Oryzias latipes: one gene and its partners. The protein of the gene in region 2 interacts with the protein of the main gene of each other region in a biochemical or structural test. Links are inferred from orthologs where the notes say so. Each region holds a gene or a part of one and is shown on either strand. Other genes may lie near its edges. The genes, in order: acvr2a, erbin, arvcf and kcna4.

Region 1 (4,260 bases), on a different chromosome or scaffold from region 2:
TATTCTGCGACACCCAAACTTCCCACCTCAACATAGACAAAAGCGTCATCAGCATAGAAGCAAGCCTGACCGCAAAAAAAGAGTGAAAAGGGAAATAAACTAGGAAAAAAACAAATAAATACTTGAGCTTTCAGATCTCTTAAGATGATAGTCATCGTCTTATTCCTCAAAAAAAAAAACAATTTTCTGTTATTGTTGAATATAAAAAATGATATTTACCATTAACTGGATGATTTCATGCAAACTATCAAAAAAATTGGGAGATATTTAAGTCTCAAGGTCTCCACTTGTGTGCGATCCCAAAGTTCCAACCTCGAAGTAGACATCAGCATTGTTAGCATAGAAGTCAACAAACAGGAAACGAATAGATAAATATCCATTTTTCTTAAAGTTACTATTATAAGCATTCATTGAGTGTGGTTAATATGTGTTAACAGGGAGGAGCAGGAAGGGTATTTATTTGCAATATTGTGTTTTTTTTATGTTAAAGCGCTTCGAGTTGCTCAAGGTATGAGAAGTGCTTTTTTAAAAAAAAAAAAAGTTTCATTTGTTTTGATTTGAAAAGCAATCAAATGATAAAGCTGTCAGATCGCTAAAGTAGATAAAATTGTAAAATATTAAAGATTACGGGTCTCTCGTTAACGTAGCTTTTCCTTCGAAGTCCTTTTGTAGTTTTTTTTTTTATACAATTTTTTTATTCACCATGAACTGTATGATTTCACACAAAAAAAGAGCATTTCTGTATCTGTAAACTGCCAGCAGCAGCAAAGCAAGTGGCATCTTATGATTTGAAATCTCTGAATTTGTCCTTGTGTTTTCACAGCGCAGCCTCTCCGGGCGGATCGCCTCGGTCTAACCCATCCTTTTTAAAAGCCATTCAACTTGAATTTTACAAAGAATTATTATTCTAACTCAAGTGGAAACCATTCATTTCCCCACTTCAGACGGTAACGAGCAAGCAGAATAATCATCCGCTGCGGTCTAAAAACGCAGACAGCACCTGCCTTGCACTCCATGCGACCTTGACTATTACCCAATTTCCGAAACCTTCTTTCCTTCCCAACCAAAGATCCTCCGGGACTTGCTGGAGTATTTTCCTTTCTTGCAGATTTGCTCAGTATTTTTTTTGCCTTGTTCAAACTAAATAAACAAGAGAAAGTTCTGCATTTTTTTCGGACAGCACACGCTGCAACAGAAACCTGCGGCACCTCAGAAAGCAAAAACAAACTTTCCTCATGTTTGATGGGACTGCTTTGATCCAATAATCCCCTTCCTGCTTGCACACAACACCAGGAATTCTCGCCACCAGGCTTGATCTGTTTCGAAACCCTCGATTGGGCAACCGGTAGAGATAACAGGAGCTGATCTGCTGAAAGGCCCCGGTCACAAAGCATGGCACCTTTCCCGTCAGGCAAGGAAGTAACACCACCAAAGTCCACGGTTTACAAGGCTTCACCGGTGTTTGTGCATCGTTGACCCATAGAAGAACGTTCTCTTGCCTTTCCATACCGTCGAGTATTTTTTCTAGCTACGAAACCAGAGCATGAACCAGTAGAGGCAAATCTCCCCGTCACGCAAGAAGTGGCATCCAGGTCCACCCACGTCCATGTTTTATCTTGTTCAACAAAAACACACTAAGTGACAAGGGTTTGTGAGCGTGCACAACATGTCAAGAAGCGTCGGGTGAATCTGGTCCCTTGAGGGCCAAAGGCTCCAGAGAACCGGACTACGACCTACTACTACTACGTTTTGTTACCCACCCACCCCAGAGGGTGCAGTTGCATTCTTACAAATAAAATAAAATAAAATAACATCAGGGTTGCTGTGCGTTGCAATCTCCACCCGCACCACCACCACCTTCTACACACCCACCTGAAGAACAGGAGATGAGGAAAACGGCTATGGCCAGCTTTGTGGCGTCTCCCATTTTCCATCCGAGTTCGATCCGCTCAATGCAAAGAATTGTTTAAAAATATATATAAACTAATTTAAAAAAAAAAAGTCAAAATATTGTCAGTTAAAAGTCCTCTAAACAACCCAGTGTGTCCGAGTCGACCATTTTAATTCACTAAAGAGTCTAAATCCGAACGATCCCAGGTAAGTCCACACACTGAGGAAGAGGAGGAGGAGGATGAAGAAGAGGGGATCGATGGTGGTATTTCCAGGTTTACAGGCAGGCGAGGGGGGTCGGCTCCGCGGCGGTGTGGAGTCGCCAGATCTCCGGCTTGACGGACAGATCGCCGGTGCACGGGGCTTCCGAGGAGCGGTGCAGGGAGCCGAGCCACAGCCGGGCAGGGCTAACATCCATCGGACTGGAAATTAATCGCACTCCGCCGTCCAATCAAACTTCTCCTAGCGGAGCTCCGGCCGCATAGCTAAAACACATCAAAACGCTACGGAAATGCTCATTCCCGTGGATTTTATACTCCCAAAAATGGACGTTTTACTCCGACTAGGAGCTTCGGCTTCGCCCGACAGTCCGGCGGGGCTGTCCTGCCACCAGCACCGCGGTTCCGGCCGCTCCAGCGGGAGGGGGATAAGGCTATTCCGAAGAGCTCCGAATAAAAGCGGCGTCCCGCTTCAAAGTGGCTCCAACAAGCGAATCCCTCCGCGGTCCAAATAGGTCTCGGTGCACGCGGGGAACCCAGGTTCGGTTCGGTAGCAAGAAAAGCTAAAAAAAAAAACGACAACAAAAAAACAAAAACAAAAAGGCTGCAGTTAATCCGCGCTGTTCAGGACGAGCTGAATTTTCCAAGACCGTCTCCTCTGCTCGGGACCACTTCAAAATGGCGTCACCCTGCCGTGTCAGGCGTGCGCAGCAGAAACGAGCAGCTTCCGGGGGGAAGTTTCAAAATAAATGCAACGGGGGGGAAAATTAAACAAATTACTTAAAAATGTATATTAAAAAATACATGTTACTTCTAATTAATAATTTAATCAATTTCTTTACAGATATTCCTGAGAAATTCATAAATAAAGAGTTGCAGAATTTACTAAAGTTCTTTACAAAACAAATTGGAATAATATTTTTCGTAAATTGTAAACTTTTCATATCAAAGTGTTTTCTAACCTCTTGAACTCAACTGTTTACAGTACTTCAAATTAATATACTTGTTTATAAATGTTCTATCTTAACCCATAATATGTAATTACACTCTACCAACATTTTAAATTAATCAGTTGTCTCTCTTTCTTATTTATCAACACCATTTTTTCATTATGTACATTTAATTGAATTAATTTGTCAACATTTCCCACCTTTACTTTTTGTTAGCTCAGCTGGTTTACTTTGCCCGTTTCAAAAGTATTTCCAAATTGCTATATTTAAAATTTAAGTTTGTAAAAACCCTTAATCTTGTAATATTCCGTGTTCTCCACAGTTTGATTTCATTTGCTTAAAGTTGTTTTTTTTTGTTTTTATTTTGAAGGCAGAATCTGTCGGCTTCCGGTTGCCACCGTCTAACTACGGCTGGCTGTCAGCAGCTGGCCTGAGCGGCTTTAGGAGCTTAGGGATTGTTGTTATTCCTGGAGGGCGCCTGGTTTATACTCCTGCCCGTACCGCTGGATGAGGTGGGGTGGAGCTAACGTGTGAATGTCACCTTTTCTAGCGGAAAAAAAAGCAAAATCAAATATTTGAATTTGTAGTGCTAAACTTTATTAATTTCAAATAAATTTTTTTGTGTTTTTACGATGCTTTAAACAATTTAAAATTTTATTTTCATTTTTAAAGTTTAAGCCATTAAACAGGGAAATTTTTTCCATCTTTCGCATAGTGCTTTTTAGGCCACGCCCCTCATATCCGGGAGATTGTCATGAAGTACAGATATAGGTTTGCCCTCTTACCAAATCTGCGTGACATTAATCCCTGCAACAGCCCACAGCAGATCTCCAACTGTAAGCGCTGCTAAACGATTAGGAGGTCAAAGGTCTCGGGGGATTTTCCTGCCAGACTGGAAGCTGAGTCACCTGTTCCATTGGGGAGAGTTGGTTTTCGTCTCCTCTGGAGCACCGGTGGGCCCGGGGCTGCGGGCGCCCCCAATACTTCTGCGGAGACGCCGCCATGGGACAAGAGGAGAGGAGCCTCAAAAACGAAGGGGGAGGGGGAGGAGCATCAATAAAATATGCGTTTCTGATTATTCATGTGGTCACTGCTTGGTAATCAGATTACAGTTCACCTGTCACAGGAAGCTGCCGCTCAACAAAAGCTGCACGATCACCTTCAGGTGCGGTCAAGGTCGCGGGTAAGGTTTCCACCTGTGA
Region 2 (3,564 bases):
CCTAGCATCGTTAAAGTGTCCCAAATGAGCAATGTGACCAATTGGTATGATTATAATGCACTAATAAAGTGAGAGATTTTTTTGTGTCTTATAATTGTTACTACATAATGTCAGAGGTTATAACATTATTTGTTAATTAGCAAATTAGATTCTACTGCAGTTAGAGGAAAGGAAATGTTGAATATTTGACGACAAAAAAACAAACGGAATTACGATGAAAACCTTTAATATACAAGTCTGGTTAAAGCAACAAATGTCTAATATGTTAGATATTCCTGTCACTTTGATTTATTTGGGGAAAAATCAGCAACTCTAACTAAAAGATTGTGGAAAAATAAAGTAAACCAAATTAGTCTTCATTATAAGAACCTTTGAAGCAGCTTAAACATCAGTTTTCTTTTTAAATATATTCATGCAAATAACACCCATATTTGGTTTGCTAATTCTATGTAAACTAAAAAAGGAAGTTTCTAAATTGAGGATTCTCAAGGAACATTTCTGTTTTTCAAACTTAAACAGTTGGAGCAGCTTTCATGCAACCTAAAAACAACAACAATAAAAATTGGTAAAAGTCCCTTTTCTACTTTTAAACTCTAAACAACTTTTGAACAAATGTTTAAAGATTCCCTCCGAGGAAAACTGTAGTTCTTAACTTGTTTTTGTTTTTCTGATGACGGAGAACATAAATAAAAATATGTAAAAAATGCAGCCAAAAATTGCATTTCCAGGTATTCCTTTATTCAAATCGTTGTGAATCATCAGCAGACTATAAAAAACACAATAGTCTATTTGTGACGTAGAAAATAAGCTTTCTGCTTCCAGCTCTCAGCAACGGCGAGGGGAAGGGGGGAGGGGTTGCTCCACACTGACGGTCCTGCCCACAAATCTGAGGCAAATTTCTAATGAACTACTGCCGCTCTGCAGAAACTACGTCCTAAAAAACCGCCACAGGCTTTTTGATTTCAGCTAAAACGGAATCATCAGAGTTTAAGATCACTGGGAAGGCTTTAAAAACTGATCAAAGGGGAATAGAAGTGGGGAATTAATGTTCGAGTACAAAAAGAACAAGCTACAAATATGTAACAGCTGTGGATTTATGTTGAGGGAAATCGGTAAATCTGACGTATTTACTAAAGGACACTGCATAAAATAACGTTGAAAAAGAAAATTAACCAAATGACCGATGCATTTTAAGAACAAGCCCTTTAAAGCAACTTAACTTGGAATTTACTATTCATTTTTTTTAATTTAGTGCAAAAAATACCCATAGTCAGTCTATTAGAGTAGATTAATTAGGTTTTGGAAAACAGATATATTGTCTGAGCATCCTCACACTTTTTAGTTGCAGCAACTCTTGAAAGTGTTTGGTCAATTTTTAAAACAAAAAAGTGAAAAAAGGTGTTTTTTTTCCTTTTACTTTTACACCAAAAAAAGAAGGAAATGTTTTCCATCGAAGGCAATAAAGTTTAATAGTTTCAAAATTTTCATGGAGAACATTTCAAAATAAAAGCACCATCTCTTGCTGTAAACCTTGTTTTAGTTAATATTTAAGTAAAGGTTAAAAACAGAAATGATTTGCAGTGCTAAAAACATTTATTTTGACTTAGGAGATTTGATTTGAAAGGTCAAATGAAGAGAAGTGAAAGATGGCTTCTGTTGATCTGATGGGGGAACGGGACAAAAGGGAAACATGCGTTTCCTTGAAGGAAGTGAAACAAAGAGGAAGAGGAGGTTCCTGGGTTGTTTGGAGCTCCAGAAGGAACCGCAGAGGCTCTCGGTACTCACACAGAAGCTCAGGTAGGGCTGTCCATCCCTGCCACTAAACACCAGGGAGCCTTGGCTGGCATGCATGTCCCTATAGTTTCCGTCCTGAGACCAGCTCAGTGGGAAGTTATTGAAATGATAGGAGCGAGACAGAGCATTCTGACCACACGCAACAACCGGCAGCAGGAGAGGTGACCATGCAATCCAACCAAACGAGTCACACAAACAGAAAACACACAAACATGCCGTTAGTTGTGGTTAGTCTTGTTTTTTTTTTTTTGCACAGAAACTTTGGAGCTGAAACTGTTTTAACTGTTAGTCTGGAGCTGAACTCTAAAAACTCATCTTTCAACTGTTTCCGTTAGGTACAGACTGAAGTGATTTGCTCACAGAAAGTTTGATCCCGCTTTACCTTTTCGATCTTCTTGGCCTCGATGTGCCGCATCACCTGGTCTCTCCAGTCTGCGGGGACTCTTCCCGGGCCCGGCCCGTCCAGCAGCGAGTGCTCGGACTTGACCCTGGCGTTGGGCCGCTTGCTGGGGCTGATTTGCTGGTAGTTGAAATCGCTCACAGACATGGTCCGCTCTGAGAGCTCGTGTGGGAGTGGCCTGGCGCTGACGGGCCTGGACGCTCCATGACCGTCGATGCTGTAGGTGCGGGCTGAGAAGGGCCTCTGTGCCGCCATGGCCAGGGGGCCTCTGGGGGGCGCGTGAATGTCCCTGTACGTCATGTACTCCCCCTCGGCCGGCTGCATGCGCCTCATCTCGCCGATGGAGGCGGCGGAGGCGCCGCTGCTTTGCCTCTGCAGAGTGCTGCTCCTCACCTGGCCGCCAGCAGGATAAAGTCTTTCCTTGGTCCAGTCGCCTTTGGGGGCCATTGGGGGCCCCTTCTGCTGCTGCAGCTGCAGGGGGTACTGGGGCGCCTGGTTTCGGTTTGAGAAGTTGGTGTTGGCGAGCGAGTGTGGTGGATGGGAGAAGTAGCCCTGTTGCTCCGGAGGAGCCGGTGACCTCTGAGCCCACATGTTCTCCTTTGGCATGGCACTGCTTGTGTACTGGATGTTGTACTGAGGGGGCGGAGCTCCGACGCTGGAGGAAGCGGGATACCTGCCGCTGGTGGCAGGAGGCATGGAGGAGGACAGCAGGTCTGAGGAGGACGTGGAGGAGCTGTTGTAGACGTGGAGAGGCTGGTCGTTGAGTAGCTGGCTGGCTGATTTGCTCCTCACGATGCTCTGGGCCTGAGCCCCCGCTCCTGGGCCCACCCCCACCATTCTGCCCATCACAGCTCCATCTTCATCTCCATCCAAGGAGTACAGCTTCATGCCTCCTGCTTCTATGTTGCTGATGCTGTGCGACTTCATCACCTGCGGCAGGTAGGACCTTTTCTCTGGAGACAGCTCCTCCGTGCTGCGGGACAGAGACAGCTCGCTGCCCGCGGCCGAGGTGGCGGCATGTACTGAGGAGGTCTCCGCCCTCTGCCCCCCCACGCCCTCACTTCCGTTCTGATTCCCATTCTGGATGTGATCCGCGTACTGCTGGCCGTTCAGGTCCCCCTGGGGTATCGGGCCGTTCTTGGCCTTGTCCGGCCCTTCCAGATGGTACGCGTCGTAGCTCGGCAGCTTGGTCACGTTCATGTTGATCTGGTCCCACTTGCTGTACGCCAGCCTGTTCTCCATGCACAGATCGTAGTCCGGCAGCGGCGGCTGGGTCCTCAGGAGGGAGGGGAGGGACGTCTCCGAGCCGTTGCCATTGTGGAGGAGAGGGGTGGTGTCCCTGGGCGGGTTCATGTTCTCATCTTCTTCCC
Region 3 (4,215 bases), on a different chromosome or scaffold from region 2:
TGCATTTTTGGAAGCAGGCCGGGGATCAAACTTGAAGAAGATTATACACATTTTGTGGCACGATCTGATTATCACTTCTTCCACATTGGTCTTCAGGTGTAAGTCATACCTGAAATAAAAGAAGTAATTAAAGATATTTGAGTTTTACGTAATTGTGATATAGAAACATCAGGACTGCACAAATCACTATATATCCTAAATTACAATTAAGCTCAAAATCTAAAAATAAAATACATTTTGTCAGAGTATATAAATAACACAATTACAAAAGCAATGACCCACACAGCAAAGAAAGAGAGTCACCAAGCACGACATTCGGTAGACTAGTATTTACCAGACGCCTGAACTCGTTTATAGACACCTTATTTCGAATGAAACAAAGACAGGTTCAGTAACACAGCACTAATGTAAATTTAGTTTTACTAAACTGCTAACAAATTAGCATACTTACAAGTGACGAGGAAACAAACCCAACGGATCAAAAATATCTGGCAAACTGGGTTAAAGGCGACACAATACACACAAAAAATGGCGGCTTGATCAAATTGTTAATTCTGCCCTTTACTAAATACAGTGCTGAATTATGACTGACTTAAACTCACTGCCCCTTTATCGTGCTTGTTGTCAACTCAAAGGAAGTCCTTCTACAGTATAACTTCGATTTGAGGTTTTACTCACACCGACAGACTCCACCAATGGCCTGGGTTAGAGGGGTTCCTTTAACCCCGCCCGGTTAGGCACTTTAAATGTACAGAACGAACGAATCTATAAAGATGCTATTCGATTGGTCGCCTTACTCACAAAGTTTGCCACTTTGACAGCCACAATTCCGGTTAGTTAGTTTTCTTCAAAACAAAAGCAAGCGTAACAAAAAGAGTAATCAGAAAATGTTGGAATGACTACAAATGTTAGACATGATATACAGAATTTTGCAAAATCACTCAATATGTAATATTTCGGTTGCTGTATAAGGTTATTTGCAAGCCAAAACAAAATGGCAATCATATTTGCTGCAACAAAGCTTTTATTTTGAAAATGCTACTTGGCATCCTGAGTTTTTTTTACATAAAGATGAGAGAACCGCACTACCAGTTATTTTAACAGTAAATAGGCAGTCTGAGGTATTTTAAGACTACTTAAATGAAACAAGCTAAATAAAAAATATATTTAGAAAAGTGCAACTAATTTACAAACGTATGCGTTAATTATTTGCATATTAACATTTTAACTTAAACATTTTAAAGTCACTAGGCCAGTTAATAAAAAAAAGGCGCAGCCAATAAGAATTAGGTTTTTGTTGCAGATAAACACATTTAAGTGTCAGTTGAAAATATTCAAAAAGAAAGTCCGCCTATGAGTGTGTGTGTGGATGGGCGGAGACACTCAGCGTGACCAACAGAATCGTGCTCTGCCGTGGATGAGGGATAAAGGCTTGCTCTGCTTTTCATCCACCGCCACATCGTAGTTACTATTCGTCGTTACTAACGACGTTTCCTTCTATTTAACTTTTAATACACTGAAATGACTTCATTTAACCCCCGCGAGGACTGAGAGGACCAAACCATTTGTAAAGCCTGGCAACTTTGCTTTGAGATCTAATATATCTGCAGAGTAGACAGCTCTTCCTGCCGTGGCCAAAATAACAGCTGAGATTCGGAGTAAACCCCCCCAGTGCAGCGTCTCCTCGTCTGCGAAGACCAGCACGAGGACTAACTGAGGTAATTATTGCTGTTTTGTAGTGGGGGACCGTTTCAACTTAGTGGGCTTTGACGCCGTTGGTATAATAATGGGGAGCAATGTGAACTGGGGGAAATTGCAGGGGGAGTTTCCGACGCTTCTTTCCTAAGGATTCAATGGAGAAGACGAGGTTGTGCAATTATATTCAGTTTAAGCCTCCTAATATTTATTTTTTGTTATTATTGTATTATTATTATTTGTTAACTAGAGCTATTCGTATGTAATGTTTACTATTTTTGCGCCACAAATCTGTAGATGCTCATGAACGGAAGCAGTCAAGTGCAGCGCACCGCACCAAGCTGTCAATCTTCAGCCCAGCTACTACTCCATTGTTATCCCCCTGACTGTTTGTGAGTGGGTTGCCATGGAGAGTCTTCCGGTGCCTCTCCCGTAAATACCTTATTTGGAGGAATGGGCGGCTGTAGTGATGTTGGGTTATGGCCTTCATGTATTCATGTCCCGCGCGAGTTAGTGCCAGAATGAGCGAGTGGTTCTCATCAGCGCCAAAGCCTTAAATGAAGTTCTCAACAGACTCTGATTGATCTCTGTTTATGCTTTCACACCCTGCTAGCCTCAGGATGCAGAAGGATGCAATTAAGGCAATTACCTGTGAGCACGTGGCACGAATTAGCATACATTTGGTTCTAATTGGGAACGCACACGCTAGACCAATTAAAAGTCTCAGTATAATTCAAAGAGTTTTCATTAAAATTTATGTAGTTTGAGATGTTACCATGTTTAAAAAAACTATTGAAAATAAACATATTTACAGAACAAGGGTGGATTCAAAACAGGATTGAACATAACATTTTTACACAAAAAAATTACAGCAAGTAACATGTTAATAAGAAACGTTTGGTTAGCAAATGGCAAATAGAGAATATATATATATATATATATATATATATATATATATATATATATATATATATATATATATATATATATAAACGAGAAAAAATTACTTAGCAAACAGGGAAATACAAAATTCTACTGCTTTGGGAGTTTGACTATTTTCAAGAGTGTTATAAAACAGATGAAGTTCTGTAATAAATAAATATAAATTTTACTTTTTTATTTAAAAGTAATTACTTTGCAGTATTTTCTATGTCTTTACAAACAAAACAGAATAGGTTATTATATGTTTATATAATTATATTTTATTATATATTATTATTGCTCAGCCGGCTAAGCGGAGCATTGTCACAGTAACATGACAACACGCAGCACCACGTGACAAATAGTCCGCTTTTTGTTAAATAAAAAGTGATCTAATAACAATAACAAGAATAAAGCACTAAAAATCGATTGATTATTTATTTCTTTTGTAAGTGACCATGGGATAAGCGGGTTAATGGCCTTCGAAGTGTGGATTATCAGAAATTAATGCACTTCGGCGAAGCAGCCATCCTCTGTTTCGCGTCGGACAGTTCAGGCTTCTACAGCGTGCTTTAATTTCTGATAATGCAGACTTTGTTGGCCATTACTGGCTACTTAACTTAAATTGTTCCGGTTTAGTCTGGAGAAGTATTCAGTTAGTGTATGTATACATGTACGCACGATGCCATCACTTGATACTTCTTGTATCAGAATTGGACTACATTGACTTTCTGTCATGTCAATATGTTGAGTAAAATAAAAACAAAATGCTACCTCATAGGTTTACGCTAACTATGATGATGCCATCGCTTGGTACTTCCGATGGGATCGGAAGAGAATTGCCCCAATCGGTACAAAATGTGACACAATTTGATGGCATCACCCACGATTGGAATTTTATTTAGAATTTTTATATAGTACAATTGTGTGCATATCACACCAGTGGCCCATACTAGCAAGTGTATGAGCAAGATGTTGTACATGTTAAAAAATACCAGTGAAACTTTGGAGACAATCATGTCGAGCTTAAAAAGTATGAATGCCATTCAGAGGTTCATCGCAGTTATCATGGACAGTTGCAAGTGAAACCAACCTTAATATGAACTAAACTGCATGATTGTGGTAGGGACACGATACGATTGATGCGATAGCTGATTACTATGAAGTATAAACCAGGCATTAGATAATTTGATCATTAACTCTCATTGATTGACTCGGATGTGTTGGAATTCAAGAAAAAAGATTGTCAAACAAATATGTGACTTACTAACTTATTAAGTTTGCCTATAATGTGTTTCACAGGCTATCTTTATTTTTATTTTTTTAGCTGACTGAAGTGATGGTAGTGAGTGGTTAGGAGGAAGCCAATCCGGACCTGAAGTGAATGGTCCTTTTGTTGGACATGCACCTGCAGAGCTCTTCCTGCTGCTCATGAAGTGATTAACATTCACCTCCAACCTCTCTGTCCTTTCCATTTTCAAGTCCCTAGGCCAAAATAACCCAGACTCCAATGTGTGGAGTTGACACCTGGTCTGCATCACCCACCCAGTAAAGCCAATAACACATGCCTTTGTCTCTACCCACTCAACACACCATGAA
Region 4 (4,173 bases), on a different chromosome or scaffold from region 2:
CCCCGGTTGCGTCTCCACCGTCCGACGCCGCGCTGCTTTTTCCGCTCTCTGAGAACTCTCTGCTGCTGCTGCTCGGGATCCTGCTGGTGCCAGGAGGAGGAGGAGGGGCGCGAGGCGGCGCCGCTGCTGATGTTGGCGCTCGTTGAGGAGGAGGCGGCGCGAGACTGATGCTGGCGGTTGTTAAGGAGATGAGCGCTCGAGGAGGTGGTGGTGGAGATGGACCCCCCTCCATGGCCGCCTCCTCCTCCTCCCTCCGCAGCAGGGCCCCCGTCGGTCGCCGCCGCAGCAGCCGCCGCTCTGGACTGAGCAGCCTGACGCTCCCTCTCGCGCTCCCTCTCACGCGCCCGTGCTTGGGCATATCCGTACGGCAGGTGACTGTTGCACCCGCCATCCGCGCCCACCATAGCAAACTCCATTTTAAGTCTGTCTGAGCGCTATATAAAACGCCTCAAGGTGATGTGGACGCACAGCAGAGGAGAAAAGTTGGAGCCCGGCGCGCGCAGGGAGGGTGAATAAGGCATGAACCGTTCTGATCAATCAGATGGTCAGGTCAAGAAACATCTGTCTGCTTCAGGTTCAGTGAAGCTACTCACATAATGGGGGTTATGAAGCCCCATCTTCTCATGTTGGTACAAACACTCTAGGATTGCATGACATCATTAGCATCACAAAAAAAAAAATCCAGAGGCCGGTGGAATAGCCTGTTACGCAGACGCTCTGACAAAAGTTGCAGCCCCCCCTCCTCTATATGCACAGCATTATAAATCACCGAGTCAACAAGCTACACCAAAGCAGTCTGTCCGCGGCTTCTCCGGAGCCCATCAGGTGGTTATTTTCCCAGAGATCGGCGCCTAAATGCGTCCTTGGCTCTGCCGTGGTCACCCGATGATGCCATTCTCATGTGCTGGGATCCAAAAATAAGAGGAAAAGCAAAAGAAAAAATGGTACAAAAAATATTGTCTGCCGTATTGTAGACTCCCGGTTAAGCAGAATTACTTTTATTCCTCATGTTTACAGCAGATCCTGCAAGAATAAGGAAGAGGGAGGTGTAAATATTATAGCAAGAAAACTACATACATCATGCAGATTATAAAACTTCATTAATAATATCATTAGACTGCTAATATCGAATAGAAAAACGTCAAAACGAACATTACGCACAGGGTTTCCACATACAAGTGTCCTTTCATCCATACTTACATTTGAAAAGGTGCCAAATCAAACCGCCTCAACACCCAAAACAAATCCGCTGGAGGAGGAGGAGAAGAAATAGGAGGCGAGGATGCACATGTTTCCTCAAATTCCTGTTAGAATTTCTGGACGTTAAAATACCCAAATCCTTCGTCGTGTCCAACCAGCGACCAAAATCCACATCCAGTATATACATCCGTGCTCTGACGCACTCTGGAGATGACACTTTTTTTTTGGCTGCGTCTCGACGTCTTGTCTCAATTCAACAGGATCTATTGGCACTTCGGCCCCCGTTCCTGCAGCATCGCTCACTGTATAGAGGCAACATTCGGCTTTTAGGGGGGGAAATAGGAGGGAGGAGTAGAATAAGGTGTGCGATTAGGGAGTTGGCATTACTGACTGCTCCGCGCAATCCCGGTCAAAAAGAACCAAGGGTGGGGGAAAGTTTAGCAAGGCATTGATGAGGGGGTAAATGTCCCCACGGCTAAGTGTGAGCATCACGCCTCTGTCTGTCTGCCTCTGTATCCCTACCTATGCTCCTGTATCCCTCCCATTGTATGAGTGATGATGGAGAATCTCGGTGAGAAAGTGGTTCCTGCGTCGCAGCGCGCGCAGGCGGTGCTCGGTCCTCCCCCAGTGGATGCAGCGCGTCACTGCGCGCCGTGCTGCAGTCTCAATGCTGAGGCCCCTCTCCCGCTTTACCATCGCTTCTCTCCCCGAAAATAACTATGGCAGCGCTGTCTTTTCATTCACAAAACCACGTGATTAGACCAGAGCGCATGCTTCCTCACGAAATTAGAATTGTACCTTTACTGTTTACCATGTTGGCTCAGAGGAAGCGGCGGGAGGAATCTATTCTTTTTGATGCAGAATTGAAATGAAATGACGGGAACTTTAAAGTAGATGCAAATATCAGGTTTGATATTTTTAAAGCCCGCCAATATCAAGTTTTCCTTCTGAAATTTACACCTTCATTAATCCTTAAGTGTATGTTTATTAGTTTCCTTCATGAGGAAACATCAAAAACCATTAAGGCTCCCTTTGTCTGCTTTCCTCTGAGGTTCAATTAGGGGAAAAAAGAACACCATCTGGTATGGGAGTGAAATTAATTATCATATTATGAGATTGAACATATTGGAGAGTAAATCATGAAATAGACGCAGACAGAGTCAACAGGTAAAACCAATTATGTGAAACAGGAAAATTACTGGCCAAGCATCGTCATTTCTGAAGGTTTGGATTAAGCGATGAATGGACGGAGAGTCTAGTGGAGATTTTATGGACCACCATGGTTCTGGATCCAGAATGACATCTGAGGTTCTCCTACAGTTGGGAGAATGTCTTCTCCAAATAGGCAGCATTACCTGTTTTGTAGAGCTGCAAACATGCAGTTCAGAGGTTAAATGCAGTTGGGCGCATTTCAAAGATTTTTGAAAGAGAAAACAGTAGAAACCAGGGCGACTTTGTGCCACTCCTGATGTTTTTTCAGACTGTGTGATGTACCAAGAGCATTTTAAAGCTTTCCACCGCAAGCATCTGGCCCTCATTGTATGTCTCGCTGAATCTTTGGAAGAAATATGAGTCCATTGCCTTTATGGTGGCCCTGAAGTGGAAATTACACCAACAAATCATTCAATGCAAAAATAAATTAAAGATCCCAACCACAATTTAAAAAGGAAAACAAATAAGAAAAAAAACATTACATTTTAGAAATCCAAAAGAATTTCCACAAACCAAACAAAATAAGAAAAAAAAAGGAAACAAAATAAAAGTGAAATATTTTGGAAAACAAAAGTAATTTCCAAAAATCAAAATTAAATGTTTAAAAAAAAAAACAGAATATGAACCTGGAAAAGGTAGGGACTATGGGACATTGCTGATTGGATGATGACATTCGTTCATCGTTTCGACCAAAAGTTATTTGGCATGAAGCGATACTGGATCTGTTCCGTACTAATCATACAACTTTGATTAGAATGAGGACATTGAAGACGTATTTGAAAAACATAATCACTATCTGGGAATGAAAAAAGTCCTTTTTTGACAGCAATGTAAGTGAAAGGTGCAAGTGTGCAAAGCTGGGCCAAGGTATAATGAAAACTTCATATATGTAAGCAATGCAGTAATCACAGTATTGTGTTTTAACTCTCACATGTGTGTTTTGGAACTCCTCAACTATTTTTCTTACAAAATAAGCCATTAAAAACCCACATTTCACTTTTTCCTAAGCAAGCCTCAATTCAAATTTTGTCACTTTACCTTCTGAAGATTGAACAAAAATAATTTTTGAGTTCTAAATTATGCACTAAGCTTGTTTCTTTTTCATGTCTTAACAGTTTTATGTTATTTTTTCACTCAGAAAATTTAAAACTCTTCAAAATTTCCGTTTCCAGCTCACCAAAGCTACAAACATCCCTGACATTCATTATGCGTTTAGCCTATGGTATCACACTGGGCAAGCAGGGAGGGGCTTCTTCCTCTTTTTTTTTTTTTTTTTTTTTTTTACTGTTTGCTAGCTACTTTTGCATGTTCGCCACCTACAGTTGGAAGAGGCTTGGCGCAAAATGTCAAAGCGGAGCAAATCTTGCGATTTGGGTACTAAACGGTTCGGTTCTTGTTAGCGTCCTTGCATTGGAAGTAGATCCCCCTCTTGTCCGGAGAGTAGTATTGGTTTGTCTTTATTTGAAAAAATAACACATTCGTGGCCAGGCTTGTCGCCATGTCTGGGTTCACCAGATAAACCAACTGGCACCAATGGCCATGAGTTTTGCATGTAAAGCTGGAAAATGGTTGGACAACCTTGTGTAGCAATGCATGAACGCTAGGAATTGGAATATGGATGCCCAAAACGCGCATTTACGCACGTGTACTTTTCCTTGGATGTGGCCGCTTTAATACATGTTGCCGAAAGTGATGTGAACATAGATTCAGAGATACTGCTAAAAATCGTATTCTCGACCAAATATGTCTAATTTTTGTACC

What was found.
Region 1: the proteins of erbin (region 2) and acvr2a interact in a test that uses a peptide from one of them, tested with the Homo sapiens proteins (2 studies listed by BioGRID and IntAct). The link is inferred for Oryzias latipes from reciprocal best matches to the Homo sapiens genes ERBIN and ACVR2A.
Region 3: the proteins of erbin (region 2) and arvcf interact in a test that uses a peptide from one of them, tested with the Homo sapiens proteins (3 studies listed by BioGRID and IntAct, with this or other methods). The link is inferred for Oryzias latipes from reciprocal best matches to the Homo sapiens genes ERBIN and ARVCF.
Region 4: the proteins of erbin (region 2) and kcna4 interact in a test that uses a peptide from one of them, tested with the Homo sapiens proteins (3 studies listed by BioGRID and IntAct, with this or other methods). The link is inferred for Oryzias latipes from reciprocal best matches to the Homo sapiens genes ERBIN and KCNA4.

What each region holds. Positions count from the first base shown.
Region 1 is NC_019860.2:3,422,121-3,426,380, reverse strand, and holds the start of acvr2a (activin receptor type-2A), read right to left. Parts: upstream 2,806-4,260; 5' UTR 1,928-2,805; coding exon 1,873-1,927; intron 1-1,872. UniProt on the Homo sapiens protein: On ligand binding, forms a receptor complex consisting of two type II and two type I transmembrane serine/threonine kinases.
Region 2 is NC_019870.2:4,436,267-4,439,830, forward strand, and holds part of erbin (erbin), read right to left. Parts: intron 3,564-3,564; coding exon 2,177-3,563; intron 1,924-2,176; coding exon 1,786-1,923; intron 1-1,785. UniProt on the Homo sapiens protein: Acts as an adapter for the receptor ERBB2, in epithelia. By binding the unphosphorylated 'Tyr-1248' of receptor ERBB2, it may contribute to stabilize this unphosphorylated state.
Region 3 is NC_019867.2:23,347,075-23,351,289, forward strand, and holds the start of arvcf (armadillo repeat protein deleted in velo-cardio-facial syndrome), read left to right. Parts: upstream 1-1,413; 5' UTR 1,414-1,718; intron 1,719-4,215. Other genes in the region: tango2 (transport and Golgi organization protein 2 homolog), read right to left, coding at 1-51. UniProt on the Homo sapiens protein: Contributes to the regulation of alternative splicing of pre-mRNAs.
Region 4 is NC_019861.2:9,901,269-9,905,441, reverse strand, and holds the start of kcna4 (potassium voltage-gated channel subfamily A member 4), read right to left. Parts: upstream 2,810-4,173; 5' UTR 1,201-2,809; intron 1,024-1,200; 5' UTR 417-1,023; coding exon 1-416. UniProt on the Homo sapiens protein: Voltage-gated potassium channel that mediates transmembrane potassium transport in excitable membranes. Forms tetrameric potassium-selective channels through which potassium ions pass in accordance with their electrochemical gradient.